Mus musculus: one gene and its partners. The protein of the gene in region 2 interacts with the protein of the main gene of each other region in a biochemical or structural test. Links are inferred from orthologs where the notes say so. Each region holds a gene or a part of one and is shown on either strand. Other genes may lie near its edges.

Region 1 (3,620 bases), on a different chromosome or scaffold from region 2:
CTGAGACTGTGTTTCAAAATAAAAGGTAAAGAGATCTGGTAGTGTGGTACAGTGGTAGAGCCCCTGCCTAGAATCCCCCAGTGAGGGGCTGGGGGCGTGGCTCAGTGGTAGAGCTCCTGCCTAGAATCCCCCAGGGAGGGGCTGGGGGCGTGGCTCAGTGGTTGAGCCCCTGCCTAGAATGCCCTAGTGCAGTGGTTCTCAACCTTCTTAATGATATGACCCTTTAATACAATTCCTCATATTGTGGTGACCCACCCAACTATAAAATTATTCACTACTGCTTCATAACTGTAATTTTGCTATGGCTATAAATAGTAAATATTTCATACATAGGATATCTGATATGTGACCCCAGTTCAACCCCTAAAGGGGTCATGGCCCACAGGTTGAGAACTGCTGCCCTGGTGAGTGGCTAGGCTTTGGCTCAGTGGTAGAGCTCTGGTCCAGTGTGCTCAAGCCCTCAGTTCTATCACCGCCACCCCCTGTCATGGCCCTCTATTGGATTCTATGTCCTACCTTCCTGACCTGACTTTCCTCATGGGCGTGCTCTGGACTCCTAGGTGAGCTTCCCTGACCTCTGCCCTTCCCTTCTAGATCCTGACTGGGCGTCCTACACCCTGGGTGTGTTCATCTGTTTGAGCTGCTCTGGGATCCACCGGAACATCCCCCAGGTCAGCAAGGTGAAGTCAGTCCGTCTGGATGCCTGGGATGAGGCCCAAGTTGAGGTATGAGTCAGGAGAGGGGCACTGGATGGAGAGAGGGGCATGGGTACCCTGTGTCCATATATGGGGATGACCCTAGCTCCTTCATCTCCAGGCAATGGGCCCCTTCAGGGTCTGGGCTGTCATAGGCTGTGGCATAGAGCACAAGCTTTAAGGAAACTTGGGCTGGCTGAAACTGACGGTTTCATGGCTGATCCTTTGAGGAGCCACGTGGTAACAAAAATCAAAGCATTTGTCCATCTATCCACCCACATTCTTCCATCTAGCTATCGACCCATCCATCCACCCACACTCTTCATCCATCTACCTACCTATCCATCCGTCCACACATCCATCCATCCATCCATCCATCCATCCATCCATCCATCCATCCATCCACCCACTCATCAGTTCATCTAGCCAACCAACCAGGCATCTGTCTATCCATCTTTTCATCCACCCATCCATCTGCCTACTCATCCACTCATCCATGTATCAATTTATCCTTACATTCAACTATCCCTCCATTCATCCTCCCACCCAGCTATATATATATATATATATATATATACATATATATATATATATACACACACATACATATATATATATATCCACCTATATATTCATCTACCCACCCATCCACTCATTCATCAGCTATGTATCCATCCATTCATGCATCTATAACTCCATACATTTACCCACCTGCCTTTCTATTCACCCCCATCCTTCCATGCATGCACCCATACCTACATACATCTATCTATTCACCTCACATGGGCACATACTGTGTGGCTGGCTTGGGGAGCTGAGCAAGGAATAGGCATTGCTGCCCTCTGGGAAGGCAGGGGTGGGAAATGGGTGTGAACACAGGCCCAGGACACAGGGTAGCTGCTGGGATGCTGTTAGTGTGGCAGAGTGTGTGGCCAGCATAGGACAGATCCCCATATAGAGTGTGAACAAACACTGACAGGTTGGGGAAGCATATTCCTAGCTGGGATGATGGGCTCTACTACTGAGCCACACCCCAGCCCCTCCCTGGGGATTCTAGGCAGGGGCTCTACCACTGAGCCACACCCCCAGCCCCTCACTGGGGGATTCTAGGCAGGGGCTCTACTACTGAACCATGCCCCAGCCCCTCCCTGGGGGATTCTAGGCAGGGGCTCTACCACTGAGCCACGCCCCCAGCCCCTCACTGGGGGATTCTAGGCAGGGGCTCTACTACTGAACCATGCCCCAGCCCCTCCCTGGGGAATTCTAGGCAGGGGCTCTACCACTGAGCCACACCCCAGCCCCTCCCTGGGGGATTCTAGGCAGGGGCTCTACCACTGAGCCACACCCCCAGCCCCTCCCTGGGGGATTCTAGGCAGGGGCTCTACCACTGAGCCACGCCCCCAACCTCTCACTGGGGAATTCTAGGCAGGGGCTCTACCACTGAGCCACGCCCCCAGCCCCTCCCTGGGGGATTCTAGGCAGTTAGACTTGGTAATCTTCCAAGTCACCCTCTTCACTGTCCTAGAGAAGAAGAGGGTCTCAATCTTTGTGTTAAGGGCAGACTGGCCTTGGTCCAGTGATTCCATGAGGCAGTACCAGCAGAGACACAATGATAAGATGCTGTTGTCTCTGGCCAGGCCTGACTCTGACTAGGAAAGGGAACGTCAGCCTAGGCCAGTTCCCAGGCTCTTGGAGGAGTCTGGGCTTGGACCACAGGCCCCCTCCCAGAGGATGGTACTCCTACTTTTCCAGCACTCTCTGCAGTCTTTCACATTTCAAGGCTTGTATACTGTTCTCAGTGTTCTTCAGTTGTTTGGTTGGGTTTCAGAGACAGGGTCTCATGTGCAGGCCAGCCTGGAACTTGTGATGTGTCCAAGGCTGACTTGGAACTCCTAATCCTCCTGTCTCTGGGGATAGTGAGTGTGTGTCACCATTCTTGACTTACTTTTTTCAAGATTTTTTTTGTCTAATATCTTTTAAAAAGTTTTTTTCTGTACTGGGAGGTGGTGGCGCACGCCTTTAATCCCAGCACTCGGGAGGCACAGACAGGAGGATCTCTGAGTTGGAAGCCAGCCTGGTCTACAGAATGATTTCCAGGACAGCCAGGGCTACACAGAGAAGCCCTATCTCTGAGTTCAGTCCCTGGGACCCACATGGTGGAGGAAGAAAACTGACTTCCAGGTCGACACTCACCTCTGTGTGTGAGCTGTAGCATGTGGGCACGGAAACACAGTAAACCAACAAACAAACATAAATAAAATTGAACGTGGTGGTGCACACCTTTGATTTCAGCGGAGGCAGGCAGATCTCTGAGTTCAAGGCCAGCCTTATTTACACAACAAGCTCCAGGCCAGCCAGGGCTACAGTATGGAGTCCCCGACTTTTAAAAAGTGAAATAGCCAGACATGGTGGTTCATGCCTTTAATCTCAGCACTCGGGAGGCAGAGGCAGGCAGATCTCTGTGGGTTTGAGGCCAGCCTGGCCTACAGAACAAGTCCAGGACAACCAAGGCTCTGTTGTCCAGAGAAACCCTGTCTCAAACACACACACACACACACACACACACACACACACACACACACACACACACACACACACTGAAATGACAGAATCTCACTCTGTAGCTGGCCTGGTACTTACAGTCTTCCTTTCTCAACCTTATGAGTACTTGGGATGACTGGCATCACTACCGAGCCTGCCTGCTATTTGGTGTGTTTTAATAATCTGCTACTGTTGTGCATGGGGGCACATTTGCCAGGCTCAGCGGAGGATTGACAGTGTGAGAGCCCCCCCTTCCCCTGGTTTTGGCTTCTCACCCCAGAGGCCGCCAGTGACCAGTGCTTTGTGCTTCCTTTGGAAAATGTCTGTCTGTATGCTCATGCGTGTCTTTAACCCACATATAGGGACTGCTTTGTCTTTCCTGTA
Region 2 (4,106 bases):
CTTCCTCATCATCCTCCTCCTCAGCCACACTCTTGGCTTTCATAGGAACAACTTTTGCAGGAGTTTTCTTTCCTTTGGCTGTTGTGATCTCCATAACTTCTTCCTCAGAGTCTGGAAGAAAGATGGCAAATCAGGCAAATGTATTTGCTACCTACCAATCCAGACAAGATAAATGCTACAAATACTTAAAAAAAACAAAAACTACTTAGCAAATGAAAACCTATTAAGTTATGGAAAGAACTAAGAGCACAAAATGAGTTTTTAATCTAATGAAACAGTGAGGGAATGTACATGCAGTACCCTAAATATCCTAAGATCTAACTCACCATCTTCCTCCTCTTCATCATCATCTTCCTCATCATCTTCATCCTCATCATCTTCCTCATCCTCTGAGGCAGGAGCAGCAGGAGCTGCTTTTGCTGGCTTCACTCCTTTTACTATTGGTGGCTCAAACTCATCCTCTTCCTCATCATCTTCATCCTCATCGCTATCATCTTCATCCTCTTCATCTTCATCCTCATCACTGTCTTCCTTCTTGGCATTCTTACCGTTCTTAGCCCCCTTAGCTGGAGTGGCAGCTCCCTTTTTACCAGGAGTTGGTACCAACGCTTTTGCTTGTGCAGCTCCCTTCTTACCCGGTGTTGGAATGACTTTGGCTGGTGTAATGTTTTTCTTAGCTGGTGTGGCTACTGCCTTTTTGCCTGGGGTCACAGCTGCTTTCTTAGCTGGTGTGGGAACTGCAGCCTTTTTTGTTTGTGAAACAACCACCTTCTTTGCTGGGGTTGTGGTAGCCTTTTTGCCTTTTTTCTGAGGGATGACAACCTTGAAAGCAAACAAATCATAAGCATTCCTTTATACCCAATGCTACATTAAGAGACTAACTTTGAGCACAAGAAAATGGACATTAGATAGGCTTAAAAAAAAAAAAACAAACAACCAAGAACTGGAGAGATGACTCAAAAGTTAAGCACATGTGTTACTCTTGTAACATGTAACATTCACATGTGGCTTTAACTCCAGTTCCAGGGGATCCAAGTACATTCTAGTATGAGGGTACCAAGCATGCTTAATGGGTGCGCGCACACACAAAGATAAACATTAAACCCTGAAATAAGGAGACATGGCTTTCAATACTTTAAAAAAAAAAAAACTGGACTCAGCACCTGAGCTTTTCTAAGAAATCTGATTGAGCATGACCATAACAACGGTCTTGAGACAAGGTTTCACTATGTACTACTCCCTGCTTGCCTGGAACTCAAAATTCTGCCTGTTTCTGTCCCCTGTTTTGCCGACTGTCTTGCAGAAGGAAGGAAGGAAGGAAGGAAGGAAGGAAGGAAGGGAGGGAGGGAGGGAGGGAGGGAGGGAGGGAGGGAGGGAGGAAGGGGCTTGCCATTCAACCATTTACTACATATCCTGTATTTCTAAGACTTCCAGACATTCAATTCCACCGGTTTATTGCTGCAAATAGCTTCTTACCTCCTCTTCTCCACTGCTGTCATCTTCATCTTCTGACATTTCTTCATCTTCACTATCCTCTTCCACCTCCTTTGGAGGAGGAGCCATTTTCTTGGCCTCACCGTGGGTTTTGCCAGCCTACAAACGCACACAAAAATTGCACGCATTTTCAGTCACTTTGCCTTTGGCCACCACCTTTTTCTTACTAAAGGACACAAGCATAAAGACTTCTTCTTGGCCAGGCATGGCATTCTCCTGGCAGTTTTTTCTGCGAACCGCGCATAATTTTTTTTTCCTTCTCACAGATAACTGAGCAGACAGAACTCTACACCAAGAAACAGCCACAGGTTATAAAGTCTCCTAGTCGTGGCCATCTATTTTCTGGCATCTTCCACAAAAAAAAAAAAAAAAAAAAAAAAAAAACCCAGTTAAAGGGATCCCTTTAAGTTATTTGCTGGGGAAGGGGGTATCTCGAAATCACCTCTTAAAGCAGCACCACGTAACCCAACTGCTTCCCACTTTCTCTCGCTTCCAGCCCCACCACGTGGAGTCACCACGCCGCCACCTCAGGGGTCCACCACGTGTCCATCCCGGTCACCGGCAGAGACAGCAGATCGCCGGGCCACCCATCCATCCCCACGCTGCCGTCCCCCTTTCCGGGGTACTACAGACACTCCCCCACTGCCCCGGGTCGCGCGACACGTGCGGGGCTCCGCAGAGCACGTGGCGGGCCGCGCACCAGAGCACGTGCGCGGGGAGGCGGGGCCCCGGGACCGCTCGCCGCCTAAGGTTGGCCCTCTCTTCCCACGCCGTGCCCCTATCCGCTCTCAGCTCCTCCGATCTCTCCTCACACCGTCCCCTCCCGCCCGCTACATCCGAACCCTCGATATCGCCCTCCCGGAAACCTGCCTCCGCTCTTCTCATCCCCCTAAGTCAGAGGGCAAGCACCGCGAGACCTCCCGCTAGTCGCGCGAGACTTTCCCCCCCAGCATGGCGCCCTCGAACGCGCCCGGGATTGCGCGCAAGCCCTCCTCCCCTCCGCGACGGACGGGCGGGCGCGCGCGCGTCCCTCCGAAAGCAGGGGCCTAGTCGTCCGCGTCGGCGCGCCAAGGCCTCTTACCTTTGCGAGCTTCACCATGGTGGCGGATTACGGCGGCGGCGCGTGTGGAGAGCGAGCAGCTCGGAAGAGCTCAGCGGAAGCCACACGAAAGCGACTGCAGTAGCGGGTACCGACGACTCTGGAGCACGTACAACCGCCTGCCAGCTACAGCTAGCGTCTGAGGCAAAAGACTGAGCCTGCCCAGTAATCGCCTCTGGAAAGGCGACGAAGGGGGTCCTCGTGACTTCGGCTCCACCAACCAGAGCTCGCGTCCGTCCCCGGAGCCAACCGCGAGCCTTAACGCGGGGCAGCGTGAGGCGGGCCTAAGGCTTGACGAGGGCGGGGCTCTTAGGGGCGGGGCCTGACGTCTGCTCCTGAGGGCGGGACTCGTTTGGGCCCAGGCGGACGTTGACTGGTCAGTGTGCGGGTCCTTTGAATGCTCCTGAGCGCCGGGCTCTCCCCACGCCTGCGCAGTGGGACGGGCGAGTTTGGCGCGGCTTGTGTGTGAGGCGCGGGTAGGTGGCGGCGTGGCCCGGATTCCCTCAGGTGTTCCGAGGCAGCATGGGCGGCGATGCTCAGGTGGTCTGGGCGTTTCTCGGTGCTTTCCCCCGCGCCGCGTGGTCCTGCTGAAGAACGCCGGAAGGCCTAGGGTTCCCTCGGGCTGATGAGCGGGCCTCGGCCTGTTCTCCGCGGAGTCGCGAACGGCTTCTTGGCTATGATGCGAGTCCCCGCTTTCCTGAGAGCTCCTAATAAAAGCAGTTGTGCGTGTGTGTGTGTACGAGCAGTGCACAAGCGATCCATGTAATGTCGGTGACCTCTCGCGGTAGGTATAACTCCAGGTTCAGAGAGGTGACTTCCTGGTGTGGTGGGGAGAAGTACTCGGCCCGCCTGTGACCACGCTCACAGGTTCCCTCCATGGCGGGGGGAACGAGAGAGTTGTCTGGCGTTGCTTTAAATGGATTGCAACCAACTGGTTCCAAGCATAGCACACAGGCGCCCTTCATCAGCTAACAACATCCACTAGAAATGACCTGTGGAGTTTTCGTCCGGAGTTGAGATAGGACTTTATTCTTTACTGTCCTAGAGCACACATGTAGACCATGTTAGCCTCGACCTGTATCGGCACGCCTGGCCCGACCTAGGAGATGTTATTTTATGAGACAGGTTTTCTCTGTGTATTCCTGGCTGCCCTGGGACTCACGCTGTAGTCCAGGCTGGCCTTGAACTCAGAGATCCCCCTGCCTCCCTAGTGCTGTGATTAAAGTCATATGCCATCATACCTGACTTCAACCTCGGGAGATTTTAATGCGAGTGGGATGTGTTGAGTCCCCAAGTTTTTTTATCTGAACTCGGGCCTTTGGAGATAAGTAGAAATAGTCACTGTGTGATGCTTACTTACTACGGCCTTCCCAACGCGGTGGAGGGCAGCCACAGCTACACACCAGTGCGCTCTTGTCAGGGCAGGAGATGGCGAACCCGAGTTGTGGTGTGGGGGCATTGTCTTTATAGCGAGACCGGTCACACCTTGTACTGTATATTATGGAACCAAGGG
Region 3 (4,344 bases), on a different chromosome or scaffold from region 2:
TTGATTGGACTCTTCTGTCAGAGGACCTGTTGATTCCTGGGGGCTAAGTGCTGAACAAGATGGAGAGGTCCTAACCCTCACTGACCTCGAATTATATAAAGGAGACAGAAAAGAAGTCACTAGCTCCCATATGGGTAACTTAACAACTGTGATAACTGTTATAAAGGAGAGAGGCACATGGGTACAGCATGCGGAAAGGGGCGTGCAGCACTTCAAGCTTGGTTTTTCGGGACAGTTTCTCTAAGTAGCCCTGGTTGTCCTGGAACTCACTCTGTAGATCAGGCTGGCCTCGAACTCAGAAATCCGCCTGCCTCTGCCTCTCAACTGTTGGGATTAAAGGCGTATGCCACCACTGCCCAGCTGGCTTGAGTTTTGAAATATTCACAAGAATTAACCCTAAGTGTTTATCACTCAATGTTTATGAACATTTTCCGAATTTATTTATATGGGGGATTGAGCCAGACTGGAGATGAATTCAGCCTGGGATGTTCTTGCAAATCCAATTGCTAATGTCATTAATCCCTCAAGACAGTTTGATAGTGGTCGATGGTCCACACCCAGGACTGTGAGGAGTCAGGGCAGACCTTATAGTATGGTGTTCCCTAAATAAAGTTCTCTCAGGGTACAGTCCTGGTTAGAACCAGGATCCATTTACCTGGGGGTCCAATTCCCTTTGATTTGGAATATTAGCCCTCTCACATCAAACTAATTCCTGTCTCACAGTAGGCGCTTAATAAATGTTTATAAAAAGAACAAATGCAGTAGGGTACTTGTGACACAGGGCTACATGACTGTAAACTGGAGCTAAACCTGACTGAAAAATTAAAATAATTTTTAAAAATGGGTGTGAAGTGCTGGGCGGTGGTGGCGCACGCCTTCAATCCCAGCACGTGGGAGGCAGAGGCAGGAGGATTTCTGAGTTCGAGGCCAGCCTGGTCTACTGAGTGAGTTCCAGGACAGTCAGGGCTACACAGAGAAACCCTGTCTCGAACACCCCCCCCTACAAAAAAAAAGAATAAATAATAAATAAATGGATGTGAAGTATTCCAGAAGTCTGGACAAAGGCTGTGAGGAGACTCCAGCTAAATGCCTTACGGCTGCTGGTGAACTAAGATCGGGGCAGCCAAGGTACGTGCGGATCAAACTTGTCTGGCTCTAGAGATGCAGAAGCTGGAGACACGGTCCCTGGCCAGCTTAGCTGGGTCCCGCCGCGGCCTTTAAAGGCCTACCACGTGGCCGCCCGGGTGTCCAAGGTCCAGAGGCGGTGTCCACGCTGCGCCTGCGTGCTGCTAGAGCCGGTGTCCCGCCTCTGAGAACGCCAGTCCCGTAGCAAGGCAGAAAGCAGAGAGTGGGCGGAGTTAAGTCCGTATGCTAATAAAGGGGCGGAACTTGCGAGGCAAAACCGGCTCTGTCTCCCGGACCTCTAAGAGACCCGCCGCAACCCTCAGCCTCTTTCCACGAGCGCTGACGTCGACGACGACGTCCCATTTAAAAGCGGCCGCGCAGGCGCAGTGAGGGGAAATGCGAACTTAGGCTGTTACACAACTGCTGGGGTCTGTTCTCGCTGTCCGCCCGCCCGGCAGTCTGTCAGTCGCGTCGCTACCGCCGCTGCCTCCTCCACTGTCCCGGGAGTCTCGGGCCGGTGGCTGCTGTCGCCGTCTGTTCGTGCTTCTCAGGAGCTTCGTCCGCCCGTTCAGGCCGTCCCTGCCGTCCGCCTCTCTTCCCCCGCGCTGCCTCTGAGCCCGCAGCGTTCGCACGCCGGCCGACATGAGCGGGGACCATCTCCACAACGATTCCCAGGTGCGACCAGCCGGCCCCCGACTCGTCCCCAGCTGCTCGGGCCCGGGCCGGCTCCGGCCCCGGCCAGGGCCCCGGTCCCAGCCCCAGCCGGCCGCGCCGGGTTGACAGGCCCGAGTCTGCGATGAGGGGCGGCCGGTTGGAGTCGCTTGGATGGCCGGGTCCCGGGCGGAGCCGTCAAGTTGGAGTTTGGTGGGGGGATGGCAGCCCCGGGTAGGCCATTCGCGGGCCTCTGGGTTCCGGGGCGCCGGGTGGGCCCGAGCCCCGGCCCCCGGCCGCGCGCTCTCGTCCGCCGCCCCGGGGCTTCATGTGCCGGTTGTTTCATCTTCCCTCCTTTTCTTTCCTCAGATCGAAGCGGATTTCCGATTGAATGGTGAGTGTGCCCCCCGCCCCGCCCCAAGTGTCCCCACACGCCGCTGCCTGCCTCCCCCGCGCCGGGCCGGAGCCGGGCAGAGGACAGACATGGCGTCCCAGAGACTAAGTCCCGGCTCCTCGCTCACCGGCCCCATTGTTCCCATCGGGCCGCCTCTGGACCCCCTTTCCCGGGGTCTCAGCACCCCCAGATCACGGCCTTCTCCAGAGGGGGCACCGGAGACCCCGCGTCGACCGTCGCTGGGTCTCGGGCGGCCTTTCTCCGCCGGGATTCTTCCCGGGAAAGTCGCCTTGTCGACGGTCGGGACTTAGTCTCTGCGCCATTTTCTTTTTCTCTCTCCTCTCCTTTCTGTGCCTGTGTCTTTCTCTCCCTCCCTCAGCTCCTTCCTTGAGCTGTCCAGAAAGAGCTTTCTGCAGAGCAGAGCCATATAAATCACAGACCTCACCAAAGAAGGAAGGCTTAGGGACGGAATTATCTTTTATTTTTTCTTAATAGAACTTTATTTTGGAAGTTACTTGCTTTCTGCTTCATGTTTGCTTGCTTTCTTCTTCTTTTTTAATTTTTGTGATTCCAGAACGAAAGATTCCCTTAGGCAGCTAAGGGTTTTATGGGTTTTTTTTGTTTCTTTTGTTTTTTGTTTTTAGTCCTTTTATTTTTTAAATGGTGAGATGTTTATAATAGCAGTTACAGTTCTTGAAACTAAAGCCATCTTTTGTGGAGTTCTTTGTATTTTGGGATTGTTTTCCCAAGTTGTGCTGTTTGCAAAGATAACTCCCTTTAAAAAAGTTTTCAGGTTGTCTGTGTGTCATCTAGTGTGAGTGTTGGACTTGAGCATATATTCTTTAAAAAAAATTAAAAGTATTAGTGACCAGAACTTCCTATTGTGGCAAGGTAGAGTTTTTTGTTTTTTGGGTTATTTTTGAGACACAGTTTATTGTGCTTGTTCCGAAAGGTTGCTGAATTGCTCATTTAGACATGGTGTGCTGGCCTTTTCTTTGGGGTCATAGGGAGTTTTAAAAAAGATTTTATTTATTGAAGTAGAGTGGCCAGCCCTGACTCCTGTCTTCTTCCTCATTCTTCTCAGGGGCTGCTATTTTTTTCAGGAATTAAGAGTTAACTGGCTTTCCTCACATCCTTAGGCTCTTGAGCCCTTTCCAGTCATGTTTTCAAAATATTTCCACTAAAGTTACCCAGGGAAGAATGTTGGTGGGTGTCTCCCACCACCCCAGTAAGAAGCTCACATTTAATGGATTTTCCAGCAATTCCATTGTAGTATGCTGGAAATTCCCACAGATTCTTATGGGTCCGATTGTGTTCAGTTAGTTTGGGTTCTGGGGAACTGAGTGGGAGAAGCCATTGAGTAGGTTTTCTGGTGCAGCAGTCCATGGTACTGGCCTGCCCAACTGAAAGCCTTATGTTTATATTTCCAAGTTGGTCATCCAAAGAGAGATGACACTGAGTTAGAGACTCTGTCTAGGTAAAGCTTTTCTTGAGCACCTAATATATGCCAGGTACTGTGCTAGAATTGAACCTGTCACCAACCACATCTGTCTTTGTTCAACTCAGCCTATTGGGGGAGTCACATCAGTTAATTACAAGGTAGGCGTTGGAGTGTATGTGTACCCAAAATGCTTTGGGAGCATAAAGGGCTTAATTTTATCTGGGGGTGGGGAAATTTCTTGGAGGTGACTGAGCAGGGTGTTGTATAAGACTAGGTACTGAGAATTGTCAGGGGTTGGATTATTTCTTGGGAGTCCATCCTATCAGGCTTTTAAACGAGGGAGATGAGACTGTCAAGCATATAGATAAGCTTCTTTGGAAAGGGGGTAAAGAAAGGATGTGGTAGTTGTGGATGTAAAATGGTTTTGAGCTCTCTGAAGGAAGGTAGGAATTTAATATAGAAAATTTATTTGCTTTTTAGTTGGGCCTAGTATGTAATATATTTAGCAATGAAACAAAATTGAGTCCTTTTTCCTCTTAAGTTTAACTTCCATTGTTCCCATCTAAATACAAAAGAGCTATTGAATCTATGCATGATTATGGGCTGGGTATGTTATCTTTGCATTTTTATAGAGTGAATTGAACTGCCTATGTTAACTTTTAGGATGTATTTCCATTTTCCAACAATGATATTTAGTATTTATTGGGCACCTAACTGTTCAGGCTTGAATCTC

What was found.
Region 1: the proteins of Ncl (region 2) and Adap1 form a complex in vitro, tested with the Homo sapiens proteins (2 studies listed by BioGRID). The link is inferred for Mus musculus from reciprocal best matches to the Homo sapiens genes NCL and ADAP1.
Region 3: the proteins of Ncl (region 2) and Top1 form a complex in vitro, tested with the Homo sapiens proteins (2 studies listed by BioGRID and IntAct). The link is inferred for Mus musculus from reciprocal best matches to the Homo sapiens genes NCL and TOP1.

What each region holds. Positions count from the first base shown.
Region 1 is NC_000071.6:139,304,847-139,308,466, reverse strand, and holds part of Adap1 (arf-GAP with dual PH domain-containing protein 1), read left to right. Parts: intron 1-594; coding exon 595-725; intron 726-3,620. UniProt on the Homo sapiens protein: GTPase-activating protein for the ADP ribosylation factor family. Binds phosphatidylinositol 3,4,5-trisphosphate (PtdInsP3) and inositol 1,3,4,5-tetrakisphosphate (InsP4). Regulates the incorporation of CD63 and CD9 into multivesicular bodies.
Region 2 is NC_000067.6:86,356,631-86,360,736, forward strand, and holds the start of Ncl (nucleolin), read right to left. Parts: upstream 2,826-4,106; 5' UTR 2,594-2,825; coding exon 2,576-2,593; intron 2,386-2,575; exon of another isoform or gene 1,937-2,385; intron 1,594-1,936; coding exon 1,477-1,593; intron 823-1,476; coding exon 327-822; intron 112-326; coding exon 1-111. UniProt on the Homo sapiens protein: Nucleolin is the major nucleolar protein of growing eukaryotic cells. It is found associated with intranucleolar chromatin and pre-ribosomal particles. It induces chromatin decondensation by binding to histone H1.
Region 3 is NC_000068.7:160,644,463-160,648,806, forward strand, and holds the start of Top1 (DNA topoisomerase 1), read left to right. Parts: upstream 1-1,434; 5' UTR 1,435-1,767; coding exon 1,768-1,800; intron 1,801-2,145; coding exon 2,146-2,170; intron 2,171-4,344. UniProt on the Homo sapiens protein: Releases the supercoiling and torsional tension of DNA introduced during the DNA replication and transcription by transiently cleaving and rejoining one strand of the DNA duplex.